4 linked regions of the Elephas maximus indicus genome follow. The main gene of each other region encodes a partner of the protein of the gene in region 4 in a complex. Links are inferred from orthologs where the notes say so. Each region holds a gene or a part of one and is shown on either strand. Other genes may lie near its edges.

Evidence for each region.
Region 1: CHD5 (region 4) and CDK2AP2 share a complex: the UniProt entries of both Homo sapiens proteins name them as parts of the nucleosome remodeling and deacetylase (NuRD) repressor complex. The link is inferred for Elephas maximus indicus from reciprocal best matches to the Homo sapiens genes CHD5 and CDK2AP2.
Region 2: CHD5 (region 4) and CDK2AP1 share a complex: the UniProt entries of both Homo sapiens proteins name them as parts of the nucleosome remodeling and deacetylase (NuRD) repressor complex. The link is inferred for Elephas maximus indicus from reciprocal best matches to the Homo sapiens genes CHD5 and CDK2AP1.
Region 3: CHD5 (region 4) and RBBP7 share a complex: the UniProt entries of both Homo sapiens proteins name them as parts of the nucleosome remodeling and deacetylase (NuRD) repressor complex. The link is inferred for Elephas maximus indicus from reciprocal best matches to the Homo sapiens genes CHD5 and RBBP7.

What each region holds. Positions count from the first base shown.
Region 1 is NC_064825.1:130,539,533-130,545,903, reverse strand, and holds CDK2AP2 (cyclin-dependent kinase 2-associated protein 2), read left to right. Parts: upstream 1-4,120; 5' UTR 4,121-4,156; coding exon 4,157-4,363; intron 4,364-4,449; coding exon 4,450-4,582; intron 4,583-4,891; coding exon of another isoform or gene 4,892-4,947; exon of another isoform or gene 4,948-4,972; intron 4,973-5,324; coding exon 5,325-5,392; 3' UTR 5,393-5,854; downstream 5,855-6,371. UniProt on the Homo sapiens protein: Acts as a component of the histone deacetylase NuRD complex which participates in the remodeling of chromatin.
Region 2 is NC_064840.1:6,984,433-6,991,622, reverse strand, and holds the start of CDK2AP1 (cyclin-dependent kinase 2-associated protein 1), read right to left. Parts: upstream 3,019-7,190; 5' UTR 3,002-3,018; coding exon 2,893-3,001; intron 1-2,892. UniProt on the Homo sapiens protein: Inhibitor of cyclin-dependent kinase CDK2. Also acts as a component of the histone deacetylase NuRD complex which participates in the remodeling of chromatin.
Region 3 is NC_064846.1:162,733,789-162,740,885, reverse strand, and holds the start of RBBP7 (histone-binding protein RBBP7), read right to left. Parts: upstream 3,016-7,097; 5' UTR 2,707-3,015; coding exon 2,691-2,706; intron 1,923-2,690; coding exon 1,778-1,922; intron 1-1,777. UniProt on the Homo sapiens protein: Core histone-binding subunit that may target chromatin remodeling factors, histone acetyltransferases and histone deacetylases to their histone substrates in a manner that is regulated by nucleosomal DNA.
Region 4 is NC_064821.1:45,356,236-45,363,753, forward strand, and holds the start of CHD5 (chromodomain-helicase-DNA-binding protein 5), read right to left. Parts: upstream 3,004-7,518; 5' UTR 2,920-3,003; coding exon 2,841-2,919; intron 1-2,840. UniProt on the Homo sapiens protein: ATP-dependent chromatin-remodeling factor that binds DNA through histones and regulates gene transcription. May specifically recognize and bind trimethylated 'Lys-27' (H3K27me3) and non-methylated 'Lys-4' of histone H3.

The sequences.
Region 1 (6,371 bases), on a different chromosome or scaffold from region 4:
AATTATCAGCAGGCATTCAAACCACAATGAACCAACTTGATGTTGACCTTGATCACCTGGTTGAGGGAGTGGTGGTCAAGTTCCTCCAAGGTAAAGTTATTGTCTTAGTTCTCTAGTGCTGCTATAACAGAAATAACACAAGTGGATGGCTTTAACAAATGGAAATTTATTCTCTCACAGTCTAGTAGCCTAGAAGCTCAAATTCAGGGTGACAGCTCCAGGGTGAAGCTTTTTCTCTCTGTTGGCTCTGTGGAAAGGTCCTTGTTTTAAATCTTCCCCTGGTCTAGGCGTTTCTCAGAGTGCAGGGACCCCAGGTCCAAAGGACATGCTCCCCTCCTCGTTCTTCATTCTTGGTGGCATGAGGTTCCCTCCTCTCTGTGCTCTCTTCTCTCTTGTATATCTCCAAAGAGATCAACTACAACCTAATTTTACAGATTGAGTCCTGACTCATTAACATAACTGCCTCTAATCCTGCCTCATTAGCATCAAACAGGTAGGATTTACAACACACAGGAAAAGCAGATCAGATGACAAAATGGCAGACAATCACACAGTACTGGGAATCATGGCCTGGCCAAGGTGACACACATTTTTGGCCGGCACAATTCGATCCGTAACAGTTAAGTTTTTTCTCTCCCTTTCCATTCTGTACTCTTTGGAAGAAGGTCACTATGCACAGCTCACATGTAAGGAGGGAGAAGTTATTCTCTGTCTTAGTCTGGGTTCTCTAGAAGAGCAAAACCAGTGAGGCAGACATAGATATATATAGAGAGAAACTGACTTCAAGAAAATGGGTCACACAACTGTGCGGGTTGGCAAGTCCCAAATCAGCGGGTCAGGTGGCAGGCTGAAGGCTTCTCGAACCAGAGACCTGGAGGTCAAGCGACCAGATGAGAAGAGTACAGGATCAAAAAACACCAAGCTTTGCCAGAACATCCATTTACATACTGGAGGCAGGTCCCACTCCCAAGAAAACTGCCTTTTCAACTGATTGGCTACTCACATCGGATCACAAAATGTAAGATGATTAAAGAAAAAAAACCCAAACCTGTTGCCATCAATTCCGGCTCATAGCGACCCTGTAGGACGGAGTAGAACTGCCCCATAGTTTCCAAGGAGCCCCTGGTGGATTTGAACTGCTGACCTTTTGGTTAGCAGCTATAGCACTTAACCACTACGCCACCGGGGTTTCCCATGATTACATAGTGTTTGCCAAACCACTGAGAATCATAGCCTAGCCAACTGGACACATAGCATTAGCTATCACACGCTCCTGGAGAGCAGCATCTCTACGTAAATTATTTCGAATTATTTCTACAGGTGATTTCTCTATTCTCTCCCATTTGTTTATTTATATCACTATGGACTCACGGGTGTTTATTTTATACTTTGGGTTATAAGGAAATATTAAGTAGATGGAAAGACCCTTGAAGAAGTTTCATGCACAGATGACGTTACGGAAACACCGTATGCAGGTATCTCTGCTTCCTTATACGCTTGCCACCCAGGTTCTTCTCTTGCCCCTACTGTTATCTCGGCTGCCCTTGCCTGCTTTCCAATGAACCCTCCAGGGAAAAACTGACCTGCTGTTCCCCTATTACCTGTGCTTTCACAGTGCCACACCTTCGCGTGTACCAGTCCCTCCACCTGGGAAAAAGGGGTAGTAATGGAGGAGGGTCAGTGTGAGTCAGAATCGACTCAACAGCAACAGGTTTTGTTTAATGGAGGAGGAGGTCTGAGATCTAGGGTCATGAGAAATGAGATTTGATGGGTACGGGAATGAAAAGGCTTTGAGGTACTGGAGTGAGACAGGGACAAGAGAAATGAAACAAATAAGCACTTCACATACATCCATTTAATCCACACAACATAACCCTATGAGATAGTTATTTTACAGACGGGGAAACTGAGCCATACTAAGATGAGATGGGTGGTGTTGAGATTTGAACCCAGGCAGTCTGACTCCAGGCTGTGCTCTTGTCTGTGATCCTTTAGTACAGGCATCACGTGCACCAAGTATTCAACCAAGGTCAGCTGTTACTGCTGTTGTCGTTATCTGTAGCAGAGGTGTGGGGTGTCTTGGGTGCAGGTTGAGAGGTCTGTGAGGTTGCCCTGGGATCCAACACCAGCCTTGAACCTGTTGTTGTTGTTAGGTGCTGTCAAGTCAGTTCCGACTCATACCCGAGCCAAACCAAACCCATTGCTGTCGAGTCGATTCCGACTCACAGCGACCCCATAGAACAGAGTAGAACTGTCCCACAGAGTTTCCAAGAACCGCCTCGTGGATTCGAACTGCTGACCTAATCAGCAGACATAGCTCTTAACCACTACCCACAGACTCATAGCAACCCTAAATAAAACAGAAGAAAACACTGCCTGGTCCTGTGCCATCCTCACAATCGCTGGTATGCTTGAGCCCACTGCTGCAGCCACTGTGTCAATCCATCTTGTTGTCTTCCTCTTTTTCACTGACCTTCTACCTTACCAAGCATGATGTCCTTCTCCAGGGACGGATCCCTCCTGATAACACGTCCAAAGTATGTGAGACATAGCCTCACCATTCTTGCTTCCAAGGAGCATTCTGGCTGTACCTCTTCTAAGACAGGTTTGTTCGTTCTTTTGGCAATGCGTGGTATACTCATTGTTCTTCGCCAACACCACAATTCAAAGGCGTCAATTCTTCGGTCTTCCTTACTCATTGTCCAGCTTTGACATCCATATGAGACGACTGAAAATACTATGGCTTGAGTCAGGCGCACCTTAGTCTACAAGGTGACATCTTTGCTTTTAAACACTTTAAAGAGGTCCTTTGCAGCAGATTTGCCCAATGCAGTCCCTCTTTTGATTTCTTGACTGCTGCTTCCATGGGTGTTGATTGCGGATCCAAGTAAAATGAAATCCTTGGGAACCCCAATCTTTTCTCCATTCTTCATGATGCTGCTTATTGGCCCAGTTGTGAGGATTTTCCCTTTCTTTACGTCGAGATGAAATCCATACTGAAGGCTGTGGTCTTTGATCTTCATCAGTAAGCACTTCCAGTCCTCTTCACTTTCAGCAAGGCTGTGTCATCTGCATAACGCAGGTTGTTAATGAGTCTCCCTCCAATCCTTGAACTGAGGACCTGCCAATCCAGAGAAAAAGGCTTGGGTGGTGGCGTCGGAAGCTGGACCCGTTGCCATGGGAACGAACGAAGGCTTTAGGCAGCCGCATGCGCAAATCGGAGAGAGGTTATTGAACCGGGAAAAGGTGACGTAAAAGCGCACAGGGTGGGGCGCAGGGCTCGGAACGTCAAAGCCCTGAGTCCTTCGGCGTCCGGAGAGGGGGACAGGCGCGCTTGGCGGCGGCGACCGCGGCGACAGCAGACCCAGCCGAACCGAGACTGGGCCGAGGTCCGGGCGGCCCGAAGCTGACGCGCGAAGCAGCGCTAGTAAGGCGCAAGTAAGGCGCCGAGAAGACCCCTCTGCGCGATCCGCGGCGGCCCAAACCCAGATCCAGGTTCCGAGGCCCCGCCCCGGGAACCCTGGGACTAATCGGATTGAGAGCGCGCCGGCCCGGGCCGCGAACTCGCCAATTGTGGAGGGCCTCTGCCGCCACCCAATCCGGAACAGACAGGTGCGAGGTCCGGAAGACAGAGGCCAATCAACAGCGGTTGCGGCCTGCTGGGGCGGGTCTCGGCCAGTGAGGAGGTTTGAATGACATTTCGGCCTGCCAATCGGGAGTGAGAGAGCCTTCGAGCCCGCCCGCCCTTCCGGCCAGCGCTCTATTTACCAGGGGCGTGCAGCCCGCTTGCCAATCAGCGCGCAGCTGAGCGGCCAGCAGCCAACCCCGGAGCAGCGGCCGGCCGGCGTCCGCCCGCACCCGAGAGTCGGGGATGTCCTACAAGCCCATCGCCCCCGCCCCCAGCAGCACCCCCGGCTCCAGTACCCCTGGGCCCGGCACCCCGGTCCCTACAGGTGAGGACCCAGCTCCACCCCTGCTCGCCTCCCCGGGCGCTCGAGGTCTCCAAGAGAAGACGGCCTGAGTTCTGCAATACCGGGCCTGCCGCCTACCCTCCTGGAGCCTCAGTTTCCTGGCCTGCGAAGTGGGCGTGGTGACGTAAGGGCTTGTAGGTGGGGCGCAGGGGGTGGGGTTTGTCCCTGAAGTTGACCAGCCTGGAATGAAGCATCCTTTTGGAGGGAATCGGAAACACTCGGCCCGGGGCTTGGAACGTTGGGAGGAGGCGTCCCTGCCCCGTGCTGACCTCTTCCTCGCGCCCGTTGCAGCCGGAAGCGTCCCGTCGCCGTCGGGCTCGGTGCCGGGAGCCGCTGCCCCTTTCAGGCCACTGTTCAACGACTTTGGACCTCCCTCCATGGGCTATGTGCAGGTGAGTGGGACGGCCAGCTTGCTTAGGGATGAGGGCTGGTAGCCCACCCGGGGCCTGAGCTCACTGCCCTGTTCTCTTTGGCTTAGGCAATGAAGCCACCGGGCGCCCAGGGCTCCCAGAGTACCTACACAGACCTGCTGTCGGTCATTGAGGAGATGGGCAAAGAGATCCGGCCCACCTATGCTGGAAGCAAGAGTGCCATGGAGCGCCTGAAGAGAGGTAAGCAAGCTCAGGCGCACCCTGCCCTGACGCCGAACAACCTCTTAGGGAAGGAAGGCCATCTGGAGGCCACCTGAGTGGAGCCTAGACCTCGAGCCAGTGTCACTATCCAGAGAGGGGTTTTGAATTAAATTTAAATCGAGACCATTTCCAGGGAGGGGACTGGGTGTTGGCATTTTAACAAGGAAAATTTGGGGTTTAGCCAAGCCTCCCATCTCATCCAGTCTCTTACTGAAAGGAGGCGCCCTGGTGGCACAGTGGTTAAGACCTTGGCTGCTAACCAAAGGTTTGCCTCTTTGAATCCACCAGCTGCTCCTTGGAAACCTAATGGGGCAGTTCTACTCTGTCCTATAGGGTTGCTATGAGTCGGAATCAACTCCACGGCAACAGGTTTGGTTTTGTTTTGTTTTTTTTAACTGAGAGGAAGGAGCCCTGGTTGCACAATGGCTAACTATTCTGCTAATAACCAAAAGGCTGGTGGTCCGAACCCACTAAGTTTTTCTGTGGAAGAAAGATCTAGTGATCTGTTTCCATAAAGATCACAACCTAGAACATTTCTTTGAGGCAGTTCTACTGTGTCACATGGGGTCACTATGTGTCAGAATTGACTGGAGGGCGCTCAACAACAATAACTACAGACGGGAAGAGGGTGGAGGGGCAGGATCTTCCTCTGGAGGTTGGGGTGGGCTCTGGAGGGTTGCTGAGACCCCGTATGTTACTCCCCCACCCCTCCCCACCCCAGGCATCATCCATGCACGGGCCCTAGTCAGAGAGTGCCTGGCTGAGACAGAGCGAAACGCCCGCACGTAACAGGAAGCGCCTGCACCTCAGCGTCCGGACCCTTCCAGCCACTGCAGAGCACCAGCTTCTCCCTGGCCTTCACCCCGAGTTGCACTCCCCATCCTGGGCCTCCTGTCCTGTGTCCCTTGGTGGGTGCCCTCCAGGAACCAGGGGCAAATCCCACTCCGATCAGCAGCACTAACTGAGGCCCCGTGCAATAGTTAGCAGCAGGGTCACTATGAGACCCACCCATGACCTACCAATAGTGTTGATCCAGCTGGAACGTTCTCCTTTCTGGGGCCTCCACCACTCAGCACTTATCCAGCACTGCTGACCACTTTGTGTCCCATCCCCTTGTCCCCCAGCAGGTCTCGGAAGGCCTGTCACCTCCCTGCCTTGTTTCCTGGGCCATAGCAACTCTTTTCTCAGTGTGTCTTTTGCTAAATATGCCCTTTTTGTATAAAATAAAGATGATTTGAAGTTGTTCTCTCAGCTTTGAGCCTTTCTGGGTCTGGTTCCTCTGCCAAGCCTGGGTGGGCCAGACAAGGAGGGGAAGGGATGGGGCGGGGAGGTGGAGTGAGATGGGGCAGAGACCGACTGAACCTGGCCTGGCCTTGCTTCTGCTGCCCATTGTCCCTTGGATGGGCCCCAGCTCAGGCTCTTGGCCTTCCAGTTGTAGGTGGTGGAAGGGGTTGCAGGAGTTGAGAGCCCTGCACCCCTTCGTGTGGTGCCACGAGGGGGCAGCACAGGGCCTTGGCTGCCCGTACAGCTAGCGGGCACTGCTGCTAGCCTGGGCCTACAGGGCTCTTCTTTGGATTACAAGTAGTGCCTGGCCGGGTGGCCGGTTCACTTCTGCCATTCCCTCATATGCCTTAATGCCCTAACAACATCCTCCACTCTGAATCTGCCCTGGGAGGCTCTGAGTACACCCCAGCCCCGACTCCTTAGAGGAGAGGGGCACTCTCCACTGCCCAGCACTGTTTTCCTGGCAAACAGGGTCAAGGGGAGA
Region 2 (7,190 bases), on a different chromosome or scaffold from region 4:
CCTCAGCAGCCGCCCGCCTGCCTGACTCCACGCCCCATGGGGAGCAGCTCCCCTCCCGCCACCCCTAGAGCCAAACGGTCCCTCTCACACACACAGCAGCCTCACAGACCTGGCCCCGGGATGGACAGCTGGTGCCAAGGCCGGCCAAAGCGACCAGCTGCTCGACTGGGATGGGCAAGGGGAGGGGCCGGGCGGAAGTAACTTCAGGAGCTCAGGCACAGGGAGCGGGAAGGGGCCCCTGGGAACCCTGGATCAGGGACCCTCACGGTAGAGGGAGGGAGACACAGATCTGGGCCAGAGACCGCCCCGGTGACGCAGCACAGAAGCTCCACTGATGCCCACCTTCCTGTCCAGGAGTCTGGAGCAGCTCTGCACTTGATACCCTCTCAGGTCCCAGGCCTGCCCAGCTGCCCCTACTCAGTCCCATGTTTATGCTGAAGCTTGGGAGGCCACCCAGAAACGTGATTTGAATCCCGACTGTGCCACCCCCAAGCTGGTCAAGGGCCAATTATTGGGCTGCTTGGAGCCTCAGTTTCCCTGTCTACAAGGTAGGGATGACAACACACCTGTAAGTGCTACTCACATCAGGGAAGCACTCCAAGGCAAGGGCAGGTGTTCAGTGGCCAGAGCCCAGCCTGGGACAGGGCCAGTGCCCCCTCCAGCCCCGCCCCCCCCACCACATCAGCTAAGCCCCAACTTCCTGAGCCTTCCAGGGGACTGGAAGGCAGGGGGTGGTGAGTATGGCTTGGGAAACACAGGCTTTGTGCACCCAGACCTGAGTTCTAATCCTGCCCCACACAAGTTATGGTCCCTCCCTGGGCTCAGGAAGGTATGGATGCTAAGTGCTAACCTGGGGAGAGTGAGTGGCCCAACTCTTCAAGGCCTCTAGAAGACACTAGCTCCAGGCAGGAGGAGATCCGGAACCTCCCTGTGGCCTCTGCTCCACCCCACCTCCTTGTCTTTTCTCCCCCTGCCCTGTCTTCTCTCCTATGGGCAAGGGCCACTCCTGGCTGTGTGACCTTAGACAACATCCTTCCCTCTCTGGGCCTCAGTTTCCCCAGCTATTTGAGGCAATGGTTTCCAGTAGAACAACTAAAGGCTCTAGACCCTGCTGTTTGATGGCACTGGAGTCAGGTCTTGGGGGCCAAGGGGAAAGGGAGTAGGAGTGAGAAACTGCCCCATTTTGGTGGGAGTGGGGCAGTCAGGCAGTAGCTCAGGGCTTGACTGTCCTGTCACCCCAGCAGCATAGTGTGTGACCCCCATCCTATGCCACTGTCAGTCCCTTCTTCAGTGCTGGAGGGGGTGTCTCTGGCCCTGGAAAGAGTTGGAGAAAGGGCCCCCGAGTTCCTCTCCTGGCCACTCCTTCCCGCAGACACAGGGAGGGCCATTGGGTCGGCGGAGGGAGGCCACCAAGAGAAGCAGACTCCACGTCAGCGCAGCGTCTCCCTCCGCGGAGGAGCATCAGACAATGAGCCAGTGTGCAGGAGCAGGAGGCCAGGAAGCTCCTGGGGCCGGAGCTCCCCGCCCCCACGCCAGACAAAGAGCCGGCCCGGGCCTGGGGAGCTGGCGGCCTTCCCGCCTCTCGGGGCGCCCCGGGGAGGGGGGGCCTCTCCAGCGGGGACGTGGGGGCTTTGTCTAACTCCGCCACCGCCGGCCAGGCCACGGCTTGGCAACCCACCCACGAGCAGGAGGCTGGGCTGCAGGGCGTGAGGGATGATGACAGGGAAGCCGGGAGGAGGGGCGCGGAGAGTCCATCTTGGATGCAAATGGGGAGACAGGGCTTTTTGCAAAGGGGTCCGCAGGGGGCATGTAGGCCCCCCAAAAGAAAACAGCGATTTGGGGACAGCACTCCTCTTGGAATGCACCATAGGAGATAGAAGAAAGACTGTTTACAGGTGCCAGCTAGTCCCGAACAGGGCTGCAGGGGTCCTCAGTGGGTGTCCCTGTTACCCTCAGTGACCCCAATCCCTCAGGACCCCAGTGTGGGGCCCCTGCCTCAACTACACCAGGGCAGCCTGAGAATTCCCGCCTGTCCAGGCTGGCACCACCCTCCGCCCTGCCCACCCCCAGAGAGATGGAAGCAGAAGACATCCTACCTAGGCAACAAAGCCTGTCTCAGGAAGGCCTGCGGACCCACGGGAGGTGAGGGCATGTGAGAAAACGGGGGCTGTTTGCTCTCGGCGGCTCACAGCCCACATCTGAGCAATTCAGATCACCCCAATCTGCAACCTTAATCTTAACCCTTTCCCAACCCCAAAACCTCAGTGTCCAAGAAGTTTTTTTGTTTTCTTTAAATCTTATAGGTCCCTTTAGAATTTTTGTAGTTATGGAGTCAACGTCTGGAGGCCAGGCCGGAAACTCGGGGCAAGCTGCCAGCTTGGCATATTGGCGAGCAGAGCCAACCCTCCCCCCCCACCCCAGGGCAAGGCCCTTGGCCCTCTCCCCCAACCAAGGCGCCCCGCTTTTTTGGACGCATGCTTCCAATCAAGTGTCTAAAGGTCCCTGGTGAGGAGACAAAGCCAATCACCCCACAACCCCAACAATTTTACCTCCCCTCCCCGACGGCGCCCTCGGTCTCCCAGGTACCCCACCCCCTGGGCACAGCCTAAGGAAGGTTGCCTGATAACTTCTGGAAGAGTTTCCGAGACCCCCTGCCCTCCAGGGAGGGGAGATGCGTACCTCCCGATTTCTGCAGAAGGGGGGCCTTCCATGACAGACTTAGGGGCTCCGAGATCTGGGCCCCTGAAATGCCGCCCTCACCCACCGCCCAAGACACCCAGAAGCCGCGGGTCTTCCCCAACTACTTTGACTCTGCGCGCGCAAGAGGTGGTCTCCCGCAAGTCCCGTTCTGGGCGCCCCCCGTTTCCGCGCGCCAGGCCGGACCCCCTTTACCCTTTAAGTCCCCGGCCAGGCCAGTGCCTCCGGGCCCGTCTACCCGGCCCCGCGCCCCCAGGGGCGGCCGCAGCCTGGCAAACCCGGCGTTCCCGCCTGGGCCCAGCATTGCCCGGGTGAAGCCCCGCAGCCTGGCGCCCCCCACGGGCCTGCCCCGCGCCCCAGGCGCCCGCGCCCCGCGGCGCCCGCGCGCTGCCGCCTCCCGCCGGCAGGGGCCCTCGCCGAGCCGCCCAAAAGCCGCCGGAGGAAAAAGGAGCAAGAAAAGCCTCCCTCCCTCCCGGCCCGCACGCTCCGTCCCCGGATCCCCCGGCCGCGGCGTGGGGGCTCCGCGGCTGCCAGCGCCCCGACCCCCGGCCCGGCCACGAGCAGGCCCGGGGGGAACGAGGCACGCGGCGAAGTTTGGCGCGCGGCGCCGGAATCATGGCGGCGGCGGCGGCGGCTCTGCCACGGGCCGGACCCGGTGCCCGGCGCCCCGGCCACGCCGCGAGGCCCCCGGGAGCCCCTGGCCGGCCGGGCGCGCGGGGCCCAACTTGGCGGCACTTGGCGCGGCGCGCGACCGGGCGCTCACTCACCCGCGTTGAGGGCGGCGGCGGGCATGTGCGCGTTCAAGTTCGGCTTGTACGACATCCCCCCACGGGGGCCGCGCCGGGGCGGCGGGCCGGGGGCGGCGAGGCGGCTCCGCGGCGGGGCCGTGCGCCCGTCCGTCCGCCCGCCGGGCTCCCGCGCACTTTTTGTTGTGGACGCGCGGGCGCACCGGCAAATATGGCCGTCCCTCACCCTGCCGCCCGCCGCAGTCGATCACCCATACATCGGCGGGCGCAGGGGCGGCCGCAAACTTTGTGCGGAGCCGGCGGTGGCCCGGGCCGGGAGGGGGCGGCCCAGCGCCCGCGCCCCCGGCGTCAGGGCTCCGCCCGCCGGCCGCGCCCCGCGCCTCCGCGCGCGCCCGGCGCCCGGCGCCGCAACTTGGCAAAGTTTGGGGGGCGGGGGGCTGGGGGCGGCCGGTCGCGCGAGGCCCCTTTCTTCTGCCTTCGTTTCCGGCGACGCGGGGAGGGGAGGACGTTAATCTACCGCTTAATTTTTTTTTTTTTTAATAGCTAGGTAGAATTTAAGAATGACTTCTCCCCCCCCCCCTTTTTTTTTTTTGGCTGTGGGGGCAGGGATGGAAAATTACCTGGAGAAAATGGTGGCGACTGGGGCTTTTAAGCACGGAGATCTTTCCAGATACCGAGTGCTGGCTCTTACCCATGATGAGAATAACCAGTTCTTGACACTGATTTTAAATAAACTTCTTGTCTGTGTATTAGGTGGTTTTTAACCTTTTTGTGGGGGCCTATGACTCCTTAAGGCTCTGACAAACGCCAAAGGCCTTCTCCTCGGGACAGTTCACCCTGGCATCCACCTAATTTTGAATACTAACGCATCCAAATATTTAAGCAGCACCAGCTCTATGGCAGGCACCTTCCTAGGCACTAGGGAGCCAAGAATGACCTTGGCGAAGTTTCTACTCACAAATTTCCACCCTCCTCCGACCCCACCCAAGCCCATTCTCTGATCAGAGACATAATCATAAAATGCATTTCGGATTTGATGAATCACCTTTGGGGGGGGCTATTTCTTGGATTTTGGCTACATAGTAAAGCTTTCCAAAATAAACAGGAGGCGCACTTTTTTTCTTGCCTTGGTTTGCTGGTTTAGTAACTCACATTTAGACGTCATTGCTGGATCTCAGTGACCTCTCCACCGAAGAAAGAAGGGATACCCACCCAGTCTTTCCCTTCTTCCCTCCCTCTACGACTAATGGTGCAGGTGACACCCTTGCCCCGAAACCAGCACCCAAGGAGTACTCTTGGAAAACGTCACAGTAACCAAACCCAACTAGTCCATGGAGCACACATCCTAGTGGGGAGTAGAGGTCAAGACAGCACCTATTTCATAGTGGAAATCATGGAAGGCCATCTAGAAATAGGGCAACAGAATGGTGCCTGCTTCATTCCTTTTCTGGAGTCCCGAGGGGCTGGTGCAAACAGTTACTGCCATAGGCTGCTAACCAAAAGGCTGGAGCTTTGAGTCTACCCAGACGCGCCTCAGAAGAAAGGCTTTACGGTCTACTTCTGAAAAATCTGCCATTGAAAATCCTAAGTGTAACAGTTCTACTCTGACATACGAGGGGCACCATGAGTTGGAATTGACTCAATGGCAACTGATTATTATTCCTTTCTGGACATAAATTAGATTTTCCTTCATCTGGAGTGACATCAATTCAACTCAACCCACTTTTTGATTATCTTCTGTACACCCTATTGAATGCTGCCATAAGCAATGGAAGTGGTATGTCTTCTTTTTCCCATTGGGATTGACTGTTGGTGGTTTACATGTTGTTGGTGCCGAGATACTACTTACTGCTTATACGTCGAGGGTAAAATTTGGTCTATCACAAAGTGGATTTTTTTTAGAACCCACTGGCAAGACAAGTGGGGTCGCCATGTCCAGGCTGGACATTGAACAGCAGTGGGTCTGTTTTTTTGGTTTGGTAAGACAGAACTGGAGCCCTGTGGTACAGTGATTAAGAGCTCAGCTGCAAACCAAAAGGTCAGGTCGGCAGTTCGAATGCACCAGCTACTCCTTGGATACCCTGTGGGGGTGGCTCTACTCTGTCCTATAGGGTTGCTATGAGTCAGAACCGCCTCGCCTGTAGAGATGGTTTTTTTAAATAGAACCAACGAATAATTAGAAAGGTTTTACTAAACTTTGTGTTTGGCTATTAACAAATGGCACCCAATCTATTTAGTAACATTTGAAACAATCAATTTGGCGTTACTTCTGCTTCTTGCGTGGAAATTCTGTCATAACATTTGGAACTCTAGCAGCCATCTTATAACCCTGAGGATGGAAGACATGCGCTAAAGATGGTGGAGTAGAAAAGTAGAGACTTCATAGAGCTGCCCACATCTGGAGTTCCTTTACAGAAGAGAATAACCCTATGTGTTTAAGCCACTGTAACCAGGTTTTTACCTGAGTGCAATTCCTAACTGATGAGGCTGTCCCTGACAACATGTTCAAAGAAGAAAAAAGAAAGCTACGTAAGTATCCAACAATAAAGGATTGCCTAGGTATGTTATGTTATGGAGCCCTGGCGGCACAGTGGTTAAGAGCTCAGCTGCTAACCAGAAGGTTGGCAGTTCAAATCCACCAGCTGCTCCTTGGAAACCCTATGGGGCAGTTCCACTCTGTCCTGTAGGGTTGACATGAGTTGGAATTGACTCGATGGCAGTGGGTTTGGTTTAGGTATGTTATAGTAATACATAAAAAAAAAAAAAAGCATCCTGTGATCAGCTGTAGGCTAGCCCACCAAAGGTTGCTAAGTGAAATTTTATTCCATGAATAACTTACAGTCACCCCCTTCTGTACTGTCCCCAGGGACCAGTACTCCAGAGTACACGCTACTGTCCCACAGAAATATTATGCCAGCCACATATATAATTTTAAATTTTGTGGTAGTCATGTTTTAGAAAGTACAAACCTGGGGAAATTATTTTTTAACGACATATTTTATGTAACCCAATATCCAAAATAGTGTGATTTCAACATGTAATCAATATAAGGAAATAATTAAGATTTTTTTTTTTTTAATTGTACTTAGTCTACAAAATTTTACACTTACAGCACATCTTAATTCAGGCTAGCCTTGTTTCCAGCGCTCAGTAGCTACAATGGTTTGTGCCTCCATGTTGGACAGAGCAGGGCTAGAAGCTACAAGCAGAGGGCTCACAAGGCAGAGAGACGTGGGTACTAGTGCTGGCCGTACCACCTTTTAGCTGTTTGACTTGGCCTCTGTTTCCTTGAGGGCAAGAAAGCAGCTCTCAGCAGCCTGCCCTGTACCTTCTACAAAACTCTGGGGTATTCACTTGAGTTGTTGTTGTATTTTGACCACAATGCATAGTCCCTCACTTTAGATCCTGGCCATAATTCAACAAATATTTTTCCTTTTTTTTTTTTAATTGATATAATCCACATAGCATGAAATTCACCATTTGGAAGTGTACAGTCCAGTGTTTTTTAGTATATTCACAATTGGGCAACCATTGCCCCTTTCATTCTCATCACCCCAAAAAGAAACTCTGCATTGGTTAGCAGTCACTCCTGATCCTCCCTTCCCCCAGCCCTATGCAATCATTGATCTACTTTGTCTCCATGGGTTTGCCCATTCTAGATATTTCATACCAATGGAATCATATAATATGTGGCCTTTTGTGAATGGCTTTCACCCAGCATGTTTTCAAGGTTCATCCATGTCGTAG
Region 3 (7,097 bases), on a different chromosome or scaffold from region 4:
CACACAGATTATTGCTAAAAAAAAATATAAGCAAAACACATTACAGGTAACATTTAACAGTTACCACCTAGTTTGTGCCAGAGGCTTTACCTCCAGTGCAGGCAGTCGGCACTATTGGCATCTCCACTCACAGACACCTTGGGCAGGTAGGGATTACAAACTAACAACTTGGCCCAGGCCACAAGGCTACCTGGAAGCAGGGGCAGGATTTGAACCCAGATCTCTGGCCTTAAAGCCCCTGTTTTCTCCTATTATGTTAGAGTAAGTCAAGAAATTCAAGAGGAAGTAAGTTGCTGAAAAGTTTTAAATTTGCTTAACAGGAAGATAGAGAGAGTCAAATTCACAGGATGCTCCAATCCAGCACCTGCGTATCTTTAAAGTATATGATGGTCACTCTATTTTAAAAATCTGTTCAAAGGCAGCTACAACTGCCAACGTTTAGAAGTCTCTATTATTTGGTTCGTGGCTACTCTTCCCTTATCTGTACATTTACACTCAGATTTTCAGGAGCACCGATGGATGCCCCTACCTGTGTGGAGCTCAATGTTTGCATATGGGAAATGTAGTTCTTATAGAAGTAAATTAATTTTAGATAAAATCATAACCTTTCAAAAATCTTCTTTCTAGGTTAGAATTTGATTAGATGTTCACTGAATTATATGCTCACAATATCCAAAGCCAATACAATTTTAAAAATATGTACATAGCCACGTTCCTGACAGAAATGGGGTTGAGTGAGGGTGTCTAGCGCAGGGGCTGCCTGAACTCTGGAGCCAGCCAGTCTTCTGAGTTTTTACATCTACTCCGGCACTTACCAGCTGCATGATCTCGGACGTATCACTTAAGCGCTCAGCCTCAGTTTTCTGATCAGCAAACGGAGACGATAAAAAGTGCCTATATCATAGTATTGCTGTGAGGATTACACCAAATAATAGGACATAAAACTCTTCAGATGCGACAGGCCCTGTTCTAGGTGCTCAGTAAGTGTCAGCAATTATTACCGATACCACTTGCCGTCGAGTGGATTCCGACTCATAGCAACCCTGTAGGACAGTGGAGAACTGCACCAAAGGGTTTCTAACGCTATAATCTTTACAGAAGCAGATTACCACGTCTTTCTCCCTAGGAAAGGCTGGTGGGCTTGAACCGTCGACCTTCCGGTTAGCAGCTGAGTGCTTTAACCACTGCTCACCAGGGCTCCCTATCAGCAATTATTACTCAGACAAATATAAGAACTAGCTGAAACGACCACTCTTATGAAGACTAATAGCAATCTCAAAGTGTATTTCACACTATAAGCCAGTAACAACACCCTTTCTTTGGTGGACTGTTGCCAAATTCTTTTTTCCTTTGCCAATTAAAAGGTATTTGTCTTGAGTGCCGGTTACATGGTGTGTTCACTTTGTAAAAATTTATCAAGCCATATGCTTCCAATCTGTGTGCTTTTTCTGTACATATGCCATTTTTCAATAAAATTTTACAGAAATGCACTAGTCTGAGGCCCAGATACTGCTCTCTATATAAACCCAAGAAATGTCAAATGCCTTGTGTTTCCTATAAACATTATTAATGTCAACAGATTCTTTCTCCCTTTTCAATGGCACATTTATACATCAGAAATTATCCCATAAATCACTTCAATTTTGAAAACACAACCTATCACCTCATTCAAGGGCCAATTCATTACCTCTTATGTTCTGTGTGTAAAACGCCAAAACTAGGAAATTCATGAGGACAGTTAAATTTATGCAGAATAAAAGTTGCCAGAAACCCTTACTTAGTCACTTCAGGAAGCCACTGAACCGTAAGACTCGGCCACTGAAGAGCATGGGTCATAACCAGGTCATACAGAAACGGTGTATTCTTCTTCCAGATTTTATATTCTTCATTGATGACACGCTCCTCCACAGTATCTTCGAACACTGCAATTTGGAGAAAGCCCACAGGATTAAGCTGAGAGACGACACTCAGAATCTGCACCCAGCGACTGGAGGTCGCCCCGAGATGGCCACACCTAACCTACTCTTTCCCCCCTCTCTCGAATTTGGACACGAACAACAAACTGCTCCTCCGGAACGTGGGGAAAATATTAACACCAAGCAGCTTATTTTTCGCACTGTGAGATCAGTATCTCCTGCGTCCACAGATCTCGGTAATTACACGGCCATCAAACTGCCGCTGACCTTAGAGATTGTTCGGTCTCTTACAGCTGCTCGCACCTGTGTAAAAAGGACGACCCGGATCCCGATCCGCTCGGACAGACAAATGCACACGGAACGGACAACCATCAGCCCCTGCCCTCCGGCCCCCGCCCCGCTAGGCCCCGCTCCCACGACGCCCGCGTGGACAGCCATAGGCCCGCCCGCTCCCGAAGCCCGCCGACCAGGGCCGCGACCCGAGGCGGCCGCCGCGCGCGCGTGGAGCGAGCCGCCGTTCCCGCGCCGAGGACGCCGGAGGGAGCGCCTCGGCCGGGGGCCCACCCCTGGGCCCCGCGCCCGGCTCCGGAAGTGCTCGGCGCCCTCAGCGCTGCGGCCCGTCCCGCGCAGGCCCCTCGAGGCGCGCGCCCCACCTCGCGCCGGCCCCGCCCCCGCTCCGCACGCCGATTCGCGCCTTTCACCGGCGCGTGCCGCGGCCTGGCTCGCCCGCCGCCCCCCGCAGCCCGGCGCGCGCCGCCCCGCAGGGCCTCTTACTCTCTTTACTCGCCATCTTGCGTCGGGTCGTTCGCCCCTCGCCGCCGCCTCGGACTCCCCTCACTAGCCAAGTGCAGCTCGACCGCAGACGCTCCTGCCTTTCCCAGGCGCGTCACGCACTTCGAGCTCTCGAAGCCTGAGCTCCGGCCTGCCGCCTGGGTCCTCCCCAGACGCCGCGTTCTTCTTTCCTGCCTCCTCACGCTCGCAGGTACCGAGGTCTGAGGCGCTCTTCTCTCTCTCTCCAAACTTGGAACGAGACTTTTCAACCCGCGCCTCTCAGCCCGCCCAGGCAGCTGAGCGCAGGCGCACCCGCTCTGGGAAAAGTGAGAGGCGGCGGAGAGGCGGTCCTGGGAGCCAACGGCTCCTCCGTCTCGACCAATGGCGTGAGGCGGGCGGGTCTCGCGCGGCGTTCGGGGGCAGGCTTCTGGGGGTGGGCGGGGCGCTCCGCGGCAGGAAGTTGGCGAGGCGCAGGCGCCAGGCCTCGCCCGGCACTCCCAGGGCCGGCCGCGGGGGCGGATGGGGGCGAGGGGGCAGGGCGAATGGAGGCGCGGCGTGCCGGGCTGCGCGGGGGCTGTGAGCCTTGGGGCAGCGAGCCCTGGGGCCGCGGGGCGTGGTTGTTTGAAGCGGCGGCTGGGGGGGGCGGGGAGGCGGGAGGCGGGAGAGGGGGGCAGGGAGCTTGAGGACCTTAGCGAAGCCAAGGCCCGAGGGAAAGAGGAATTCAGAGACTCAGGGTCGTAGTCTTAGGGAGTGTTTTCTGTTCTCGAGAAATTAGTGCACTCTCAAAAACCTCCCCAGTAGTCATCCCCTTGCAATTCTGTGCACCCCGAAAGGCTCCCCTTCAGCAGGGCCTGGCCTTTCCTGGAGCCGGCGGCGGACCCAGGCGGGCTGCGGTGGGCTTTGTGGGCGTCGAAGGGGCCTTTGGGAGAGGCCCCGGGCGTTTTCTGACTGCAGGGCCGCCAGGCCGCCCTGTTAGGCTGAACGTGCGGCCTGCGATGACACAGGCAGCCGAAACGGTGCCAAAGGAGCCAAGGCCGACTGGAATAAAGTGTTCGTTTGTTTGCACGTTTAAGTCTTTAAGTGCGGCCTCCTTGCACTGCAGGGGCCTCGGGCCCAGCCCCGCACCCTGCCGAGCCACTTTTCTTGCCTGCAGGGGTCCCGGGGCGACCTCACCTCAACCGGCTGGAACCGGGAGAGCTGGAATGAGCTGGCCCAGCTCCCCTGAATCCCGACGCGGGAATTTGGTAGTCCGAGGACTGTGTGGGGATGAGAACGCGGGCTGGAAAGCCGAAAGGGGAAGCTAGAGGCGAAAATCAGGGCCCGAAGCCGAAGTCGAGGGGCCGGGTGGGGGAGGCGGCTGAGGGACTGACAGGCAAAGAGAACTGCAGTCCCCCTTCAAGAGTATCTTCGGAGCACTGGTTGCCTTGACAACTTTCCAAATGCCTTCACGCGGGTGACCGCGGCGACGCTCGCATGAGACAGTGCAAGTGCTGGGGTGATGCTCAATTTTGTGATCGTAGAAGAAACCCAGAAATCACTCAAGTCGGTGGCAGAGCCACTCCTGTTACCTTATATAGAAATTTACTGTCCGGTGTTTTGGGTTGACTATACAATTCATTAATAAATCGCCCTCTGTCCGCGTCAGGCACAGGAATCTTTTCTTGCCTGAGGTGATGGCTGGAGAGGGAAGAGGATTGGAAGGTACTTTAAGCAGTACAGCCCTCACATTCTAGAACCCAGATCCGGCGAACTTTGTCTCCAAAGGGCCCGATAGTAAACATTTTAGGCATTGCAGGCATTTATATATGAGTCGCCATCGACTCGACCGCAAGGCGTTTGGTATTTTGGTTTGTAAACCCTGTTGCCATAGTGGTTAACAGTTCGGCTGCTAACCAGAAGGTCGGCAGTTCGAATCCACCAAGCACTCCTTGGAAATCCTATAGGGCAGTTCTACCCCGTCCTATAGACTCGCTCTGAGTCCGAATCCACTCCATGGCAGTGAGTTTGGTTTTTTGTTTTTTGGTTTACTCAGCTCTGCCGTTGTTGTTGCACTAAAGCAGCCATAAACAATGCGAATGAACCTGGCTATTCCAATAAAACTTTATAGACACTGACATTTGAATTTTATAAAGTTTTCACGTCACAAAATATTCTTCTTTCGTTTTGTTGTTCCCCAATCGCTTAAAAATATTCATAGTTCCTGGCCATACAAAAACAGGCGGCGGGTTAGCTTTGGCTCGCTGACTTTGCTCTGGAATAATTGGGTATTACTGCCTCAATGCGAACCTTCTCGTCTGTACAGCAAGAAAAGGCTTGGCAGAGATTTCCAGTCTCCCATTAAAATAACTTACTCATTTCTAATGGGTAGGCATGATTTCCCAAACCTTTTTTTTTTAATTAAATGTTTACAGGGTTGAAAGACAAGAAATCTTCCCAGATGATAGGGCTTTAAAATCTTTATACTGCCTACCTCACCGAGGGTCAGAGAAGGGACTATGGAACCAATAAGTTAGAAGTTTCTGAAAATATTCACCCAGTTGTTGTTAGTTGCCGTCAAGTCAGCGCAGGCAGTAGTCGTAAGTTTAATCGGGAAGTATGCACGACATAGTTGTTAGCTTTGGATTTTGCTGGGGGGTTTTTTGTTTGTGTTGTTAAATTGGATGTGTCAATTCATTTCTCTCTCTCTCTTTTTAATATTTTTCCCATCAGGTACTTTTAGCACAAAAAATGTGATACCAATTTTCTCTTTTGAATTGCTGGACTGTTCATTTTTGTTTTGCCTTTCTCCCCAGCCACTTTGCCCTGATCCTGATCTTTTCTCCCGCTGTTACTGTGGTAGTGTTTTTGTCTCTTTGGTACTCAGCTAGAGCTGTTAATTAAAACAGAAGCAGGTGCACACACAAGGTGAGGAGGGTCTTACTTCAGAGAGCCCTTGCCTCAAAATTGCTAAGTGTTAACTACCACTTTCTCCAGGCCGCCCCAACGGTGTTCCACGGAGAACTACACGTGTACATAAACTGAAACAAGTTATACACCAAACTGTGATTTGCTCTGGGGTTTTATATTTTCTTTTTTTTTTAAATATGCAGATCACCCTCAATTGATTTCATGATCGTAATCAGTCTCAACTTGAAGTGCACAAAAACACTAGGTATATTTTTGAAATCTTTAGCTTTCTCTGACCACCTTTTATAAAATAGCAACACTCCCCACCTGGCCCCACCCATGCTCACTCTGTAGCCCCATTCCTCTATTTTATTTTTTTCATAGCAGTTATCACCACCTGACAGAGGTTTGTTCTAGGCTATCTCCCCTACCCTAGAATGTAAATGTGAGGGTGTGGCCTTTGTTTTGTTAAATCCCCAGCACCTGAACCAGCGCTGTGCAGCTGAGGAAGCTGATGGGGGAGTCTGAGAGTCTGAAATTTCTGGCCAAGGTCACATAGCTACTGAGTGTTGGAGTTGAAATTGGAATCCAGTCAGTCTTAAATAAAGACAACAAGCTTATTGAGAACTGATTGTATGTTCTAGAATGAACTGTTTGCTAAAAGGAAAAAGAGAGGGAGCGAGAGAAATAATACCCATTATTTCTCATTAGCAACCCCGTCTCACTAGTTTTTTGTGAAAATCTTAGCCATTCACAAATATTTTTCCCAACACAAGCAGTGTGCTGGGAACTGGGGCACATGGATGAACAAGACATACAGAGATCCCGCTTTCTTATACATTCCTTTATTGCTTGTTTTTCTTATTACAAAAGCAAATCTCATTACAAAAAAATCTGAAAATTTAACGTGCAAAAGAGGAATGTAACAAATACCAATTTTGTTTCTGGTCATATTGTTTTCATCCAAATCATCAGGAGCTAAAGAAAATACGCTAAAATATTAATAGCCATCGTCTCCTGGTACCGGTAATATGGATAATGGTTATTTTATTTTTCATATATTGCTCTATTTTAAAAATTTCTCCAGTAGACAACATTACTCCTGTAAACAGGAAAAAAAAAAAGAACAACACCCCACACATTTTAGGAAAAAATATTTGACTAAATGGTAGAAGAGTAATGCAGACAAATGAAAAGAATTATCTTAGTGTGATAGAATTCTAGGTAATTTTCTTAAAATATTGTTTAATTGTGTGAGGGAGTTAAAGGAAAATTATTATAATAGAAAACATACTGTACTTGTTTGAGCTTGTACTTTGTTTTCATTTGGTATTATATTTTTATTAGGTAAACTGAAGTAATTGTTTTATACTTATAAATGTGTTAATATTTAACCTTCGTGGGGTGTCTGTCTGGATTCAAAAAGACCAACGTACGATGTTGTGCTAGCTACTTATGTTAAGCAACACAAGGTCCTCATTGGTGACAGTGAATAAAGGAAATGACCTAGACCAGAATCACTGG
Region 4 (7,518 bases):
ACACATCTTTTGGAACCACAATCCCTGCACTGAAAACCGCCTAGACACAGGAGACAGAAACAGAGAACAGTAACACCGGAGACAGCAAGAGACAGTGAGAAGCAACGGCAGAAAAACAGCAGCAGCAGAAGCAGGAGACTGGCAAAAGACAGCACAGTGGGCTTCCTGGCCCACAGCGCAAGGCAGTTATAGTGGGTGTGCCAACCCACAGGGTGAGAGAGCTGAGAGCCTTCGGGCACGAGGCTTACTGGCAGAGTAGGATACCTCCAGGCACTTATCAGCAGAGCTAAGAGAGCTTTGTAATACTTGCCTGAGCAGGGCAGAGGCCAGGTTGGCCCAAGAGACCCAAGGGCCCAAGTGGCCCAGGGTCAGAGAGAGGCCTCCCTGTGGCACACCTGAGCAGAGGCTATCCTGATCAAAGAACTGTATCCTACGCATTCCTGAACCTGAATTATAACCTGTTATTTCCCAAATAAACACCAAAATAGTGAGTATTGTGAGTTCTGTGTGGCCATTGCAACAAATTATCAAACCCAGCAGAGGGTGCTAGGGGAGGGATGGCTGGTGTCAGAATTGGTAAAAAGGCTGCAGAGAAGGTATGTCTGACCTTTGCCTCATAGCAATCAGCCTTGGGCTACTGATCTTGATTCTCCTCCCCTCTTGTGAAGTTAGAGGAGGTCAGACACCTCCGCCATGCCATTTTTACAGCCAGAGAGTGGCCTGGACCAAGAAGGTGGAGAGAAGCTGGGAAAGTGAGAAGACTCAGGGCATATTCAGAAGGCGGCACATCTAGTCTTGCTGTTGGGTTGGGCTGGAACTCCCAGGTCTGAGGTGTCAGAGCAGGACTGCTCCTCCACAGAGCTTCGGGGGCATTCCTGGAGGCTCTGGGGATGCCCCCCACTCATCCTGCCCAGGTCTGGCACCCAAGGGCACAGGAAGGAGGAAGAGGCTGGATGATGGTGGCAGACTTGGGCCCAAGCCGTGAGCTGGAAGCCCACAGTTTGGGGCACCTTCCTTGGACTCCTTCCCTTCTCAAACTCTGCACCCTGACAATCAGGAATATGGACCCTGACAGCCACAGGAGGTGACGCGAAAGCAGGCAGGGGACTCCGTGGGGAGGTGTCAGTGAAGCTCCAGAAACGGTAACACATGTAACCTGTAAAGACATGTTCAGCTGTCCGTTGCCCCACCAGCACCACAAAGTGGCCGTGCAACAAACACCACCATGAGCTACTTACTGCTCCCAAAAAGCCAGCCTTGGGGTGGACAACGGCCTCAGTATCCTTGCCTGGGCTGGGGCCTCCATGTGCCTCTCCAGGCAATGGGCGTGATTCCATCAACCCAGGATGCAATAGTCAACTATTGTCCAAGCAACCCTCGGGAGCCATCGTACTCCTACTCCCCTCAACCCAACAGACTCTTCACAAACCTGGCCTAAATGTCTGAAGGATAGAGTTAGGCCAGGTTGCCATAGGAGCCCCGGTCCCACCTTTAAAGCCACTGAGCAAACCACCAAGCACAAGTGGGGTGCCAAAGTGTGGGGGGGGAAGGGGCCTCAGGGGTTATGGCCAGGGCAAGAAGCCCCTCACTGGGCAGATGTTGGGCAGCCTGGGGTGTCACTGCTCTGTCTTCAGGAATTGGGGTGTCCATTTTTGGAAACCCTGGTGGCATGGTGGTTAAGAGCTAAGTCTGCTAACCAGGAGGCTGGCAGTTCGAGTCCACCAGGAGATCCTTGGAAACTCTGTGGGTCAGTTCTACTCTGTCCTATAGGGTCCCTATGAGTCAGAAGTGACTCCGCAGCAACGTTTTTGTTTTTTTTTTTTAATTGATGGAGCATTCTTTCCCCTGGGGAAGATGCTCCTGGCCAGCACATTTCCGGGCCAGGGCAAGACCCTTGGGTTTCTCGAAGTCAATGAGGGACCTAGACTTCGTGCTGAGACGCTGGGAAGTAATGCAGCCCCCCAAAGAGGGCAGGCATGGAAGGTGGCTGAAGGGTAAGGCGCAGCCCAGATGTGCCAGGAGGCAAATGTCTCAAACAAGCCGCAAGCAGTTAACTAAAGACATCCTGCAGGTAAGCCCCTGACTTTAGTAAGATATAATTAGGGTGAATTCTGAGAGACTGCAGGGCAGGGGCGGTGCCCCTGGCGTGCCCGTCAGGCCTGTGGCCAAAGCGCGGTGGGCTGTGAACGCCACTACCCTGGGCGCCCTGGGGTTGCAGACAGCGGCTGGCTCTACGGCGCGCCAGGAGGGCGCCGGCAACCCGGGCAAAGTGCTCGGGGAGCGGCACCCACAGCGGCTGGGGAAGAGGAGCGGGACCCTGAGGCCGCGCGCCCCTGCCTGGAGCCCTCGTGGGCCCAAAGGGAAGCCGCTCAGCCCGGGCGCTCGACGGGTCCCCAAGCACGGCCTGTGCCCGCCGTGCTCCGGCCCCACCCAGCACGCCCTGGGGCCCCGAGGCGCGGGGCACCGGGACATGAGCACGGGGGGCGGGCTCCAGGAGCGGAGCGCGCTGCCCGCCCCCTTCAAGGGCACCGGGCTGACCCTGGCGCACCGGGCCCCTCCCAGCCGAACGCGTCCCTGGCAGGCCCCCGCCCGAGCCCCCGGCCCGCCCGCCCGCCGCCCCCGCCCAGTGCCCGGGTCGCACCCGCCCTGAGCCCGCGCGCCGCGCCCCGCTCGCCCAACCCCGCGCCCTTGGCCGCGCGGCGCCGGCAGGGCGGGAGCGCAGCCCGCAGCCCGGGCCCCTCCCGCGCGGCGAAGCCCGGGCCGGTTGCCTGCGCGGTCCGGCCAAGGCCCGTCCCTGCGCCCCCCGCCCTGGCGCCCCAGGCGCAGCCGGCGCCGCTCACCTGACATCTCGTCCTCGTTCTCCATCTCCGCCGCGAACATCCGCGGCAGCTCCTCCTCGGTGCCCAGCGGGCCCCGCATGCCCGGCGCGGGGGGGAGGGGAGGTGGGCGCCCCCCCTCCCGCCGGGCGCCGTGCCAGCCTTAACCCGTGCGCTACCGGACGGGCGCGCGCGGCGGGCGAGGCGGCCTCGGCGAGAAGATGGCGGCCGCCTGCCCCCCACCCCCCCAGACCTCCACCCCCCCGTCCCGACCCCCCTTCCTCGCGGCCGCCTGAACCGTGCTCCCCGCAAAACCCGGGCTGCTCCGCCCACCGCGCTCCGCAGCCCAGTCCCGCAGCAGCCTGCCGAGGGGTGGCGGCGGCAGCGCCGGCGGCACGGCGGCACGGCGGGGGGGCGGCACACATGCCCGGATTGTGACGTCCAGTCTGGTTGCTGTGGCAACCCCATCCCATCGTTCCGGCAGCGCGACTAGTTAACAGCAGAGACCAAGTTGAGGGGACTAGTCCTGAGCCGCCGGGTGGAGGGTGGGGACAGGGCGCTCCGGCAGGGGGAGCCGTCGAGGCGCCCGCGCGCCGAAGGACCCGACGGCCGAGCGGGCAGCTGTGACCAAGGCGAGCCCAGGCCCGAGGGGAGGCGGGGACACTGTCCATTGCACCCGGACAGGGCCAGCCGCCGCCACCCCCGCCAGAGGAGGCTCTCGGCCCCAGGTCCCCAGTGGCGCGGAGGCGGGGTTTTCAGGGCATCGTGCAGGGAGTTTCCCTACGCCACTCACATGGACCTGGACCCTGGCAGCCCCGCACCCCGCTCGGCCTCGGCACGCTTCTGACCCCCTTTTGAGAGAAGATTAGAAGAAAAACGTGTCCCTCATTGGGGAAGGGAAGTTCTGGAGGCAGTAGACCTGAATCCTCCAGAAAAATCCGTGCAGGCCGGCTCCTCCCTCACCCCACAGCACCCCGCCCCACCGCCCACGTGCCGCCTCCAAATCGTCCCCCTCTGTCTGGGTCCAGGTGAAACACATCCAAACCCCTCGGGTAGTGCAGTTCTGCGTCCTCTGTGCCCAAAACTTCCGCTCAGAAGCGACACCTGTCGCGGAGCGGGAAGGCGCCGTTGCATCCGCGCTAGGTTAGTAAAGGTGGAGCTAGAGGCCAAAGCCCTCGGGAGCAAGACAGGAATATTAAATGATCGTCTTTAGTCTGGGTGGCAGCAAGGAGCTGGGTCTGGAAGCTGCTTTAGGAACACAAAAGTTTCGTGGCGGGCAGAATCGCCAGAAGGGCCAATGAAGGGCCGGCACCCTCACTCCCTTGACCAGACATGGCCAGACACTCTGGGCGTCCCACCTGCTGCCAGGCACCCGCATCTGCCTGACCTGGGAAATCAACAACACCCAGGGAAAAGAGGTTACCTCTCTAGCACTGCCCCTCCTGTTTTGATTGAGCACCTGCCTCATGGGGCCAGCATTCACCTGCCCCCAGTGTCTCCGTGCCTCTGGAAAATCATTAGAGTGGTGCCCCATCAGCTGAGAGCCCCCAGAGCAAGACCTCTTGGGGCAGCAGCCACAACCCAAGCTACGGGGACTTCAAGTGCCGGCCCAAGGCAATAGTCTGGGGAGATTCTCTTCGTTCATTCCCAGGCCTCAAGGACAGGGTGCCCAGAGTCCCCTGCATCCCCCGGATCATTTTTAAACCACACTGTAGATGGAGATGTTGAATCAGCCCAGTGTGGCCAGCTGCAAGGGGGAAGGGAAGCCAGCGGGGAAGCCAGCTCAAAACCAAGGGGCTGCTCCCAGTCTAAGGTAATCCTGCATGTCACTGAGCAGCCAGCCAGGGGAGCCCCAAAGCACTCCTTTTCGCGTCTTTGCTCTTTCCGACCTGCCTGTCTTCCTGAAAGTTAACCAGCTGGGAAAAAACTAAGCACCAGCAAACACTGTCCAGCCCTCAGCCATCCCCTAACACCTGTCCGAGGCATGGACCCCATGAGGTCAGACACTCCCAAAGGTACCCTGTCCCATTTTAGAGAAATTCTGCCTTACAATAATTACCAGTCACTAGAGAGCCACCCATCCACCCCCATTAACTTGGCTCCAATTCCTAAGGCCAGGCTGAGAAAGCCATGGTATCATTCAAGAAACAGCAGTGCCATCTACTTAATTTGGCCATGGATTAGAGCGGCGAGGCTCCTCACTCACAATCCACTCCCCATCCTGGTTCTTGTGGATGATTGCAGCTAGGTAACAGGACTTAATGACCAAAAACAAAGTGAAACAAAAGCTGGGATGGTCAGGTTTTAAACAAATAGATTTTTGACTAGAAATACCCAGTCATTTTTAAAAGAGAGCTCTTAATATTGTAAAACTATTACTTGTGCATTTTAATCACATTGGACCCAAAGTGTTGCTATTGTTAGGTGCCATTGAGTTGGTTCCGACTCATAGCGACCCTACTATATACAACAGAACAAAACACTGCCTGGTCTTGTGCCATCCTCACAATCCTTGCTATGTTTGAGCCCATCGTTGCAGTCACTGTGTCAATCCATCTCGTTGAGGGTCTTCCTCTTTTTCGCTGACCCTCTACTTTACCAAGCATGATGTTCTTCTCCAGGGACTGGCCCCTCCGGATAAAATGTCCAAAGTACATGAGACAAAGTCTCGCCATTCTTGCTTCTAAGCAGCACTCTGGCTATACTTCTTCCAAGGTAGATTTGTTCATTGTTCTGGCAGTCCATGGTATATTCAATATTCTTTGCCAATGATGTAATTCAAAGGCATCAATTCTTCTTCCATCTTCCTTATTTATCGTCCAGCTTTTGCATGCATATGAAGTGATTGAAAATACCATGGCTGGGTCAGGCCCACCTTAGACCTCAAAGTGACATCTTTGCTTTTTAACATTTTAAAGAAGTCTTCTGCAGCAGATTTACCCAATGCAATACATCCTTTAATTTCTTAACTGCTGCTTCCATGGGCATTGATTGTGGATCCAAGGAAAATTAAATCCTTGGCAACTTCGATATTTCCTCCATTTATCATGATGTTGCTTATTGGTCCAGTTGTGAGGATTTTTGTTTTCTATATGTTGAAGTGTAATCCATACTGAAGGCTATATAGTCTTTGATCTTCATCAGTAAGTGCTTCAAGTCCTCTTCACTTTCAGCAAGTAAGGTTGTGTCATCTGCACATCGCAGGTTATTAATGAGTTTTCCTCCAATAATGATGCCACATTTTCTTCGTATAGTCCAGCTTCTCGGATTATCTGCTCAGCATACAGATTGAATAGGTCTGGTGAAAGGATACAACCCTGACACACACCTTTCCTGATTTTTAAACCAACCAGTGTCCCCTTGTTCTGTTCGAACGACTGCCTCTTGGTCTAAGTACAGGTTCCTCAAGAGCACAGTTAAATGTTCTGGAATTCCCATTCTTCCCAATGTTATCCATAATTTGTTATGATCCACACAGTCAAATGCCTTTGTATAGCCAATAAAACACAAGTAAACGTCTTTCTGGTATTCTCTGCTTTCGACCAGAATCCGTCTGACATCAGCAATGATATCCTTCATTCCACGTCCTCTTCTGAATCTGGCTTGAATTTCTGGCAGCTTCCTGTCGATGTAGTGCTGCAACTGCTTTTGAATGATCTTCAGCAAAATTTTACTTGTGTGCAGTATTAATGCTACTGTTCAATAATTTCCACATTCATTGGATCACATTTCTTTGGAATGGACACAACTATGGATCTCTTGCAGTCAGTTGGCCAGGTAGCTGTCTTCCAGATTTCTTCGCGTAGATGAGTGAGCGCTTCCAGCGTTGTATCCATTTGTTGAAACATCTCAATTGGTATTCCCTCAGTTCATGGAGCTGTTTTTCTCCAGTGCTTCAGTGCAGCTTGGACTTCTTCCTTTAATTCCATCGGTTCTGGATCATATGCTACCTCCTGAAATGGCTGAACGTTGACCGATTCTTTTTGATACAGTAAACCTGTGTATTCTTTTGATGCTTCCATCATCTTTTGATGTTTCCTGCATCATTTAATATTTCCCTGTAGAACCCTTCAATATTGCAACTCGAGGCTTGAATTTTTTCTTCAGTTCTTTCAGCTTGAAAAATGCCAAGCATGTTCTTCCCTTTTGGTTTTCTAACTCCAGGTCTTTGCACATTTCATCGTAATACTTTACTTTGCCCTCTCAAGCCACCCTTTGAAATCTTCCATCCAGCTCTTTTACTTCATCATTTCTTCCATTCACTTTAGCTGCTCTACATTCAAGAGCAAGTTTCAGTGTCTGTTCTGATATCCATTTTGATCTTTCTTTCTTTCCTGTCTTTTTAATGACCTTTTGCTTTCTTCCTATAGGGTGTCCTTGATGCCATCCTACAACTCGTCTGGTCTTCAGTTATTAGCGTTCAACGCGTCAAATCTATTCTTGAGGTGGTCTCTAAATTCAGATGGGATGTACCCAAAGTCAAAGTCATACTTTGGCTCTTGTGGACTTGTTTTAACTTTCTTCAGTTTCAACTTAAACTTGATATGAGCAACTGATGGTCTGTTCCACAGTCAGCCCCTGGCCTTGTTCCGACTGATGATACTGAGTTTCTTCATTGTCTCTTTCCACAGATGTAGTGATTTGATTCCTGTGTATTCCACCTGGTGAGGTCCACATGTATAGTCACTGTTTATGTTGTTGA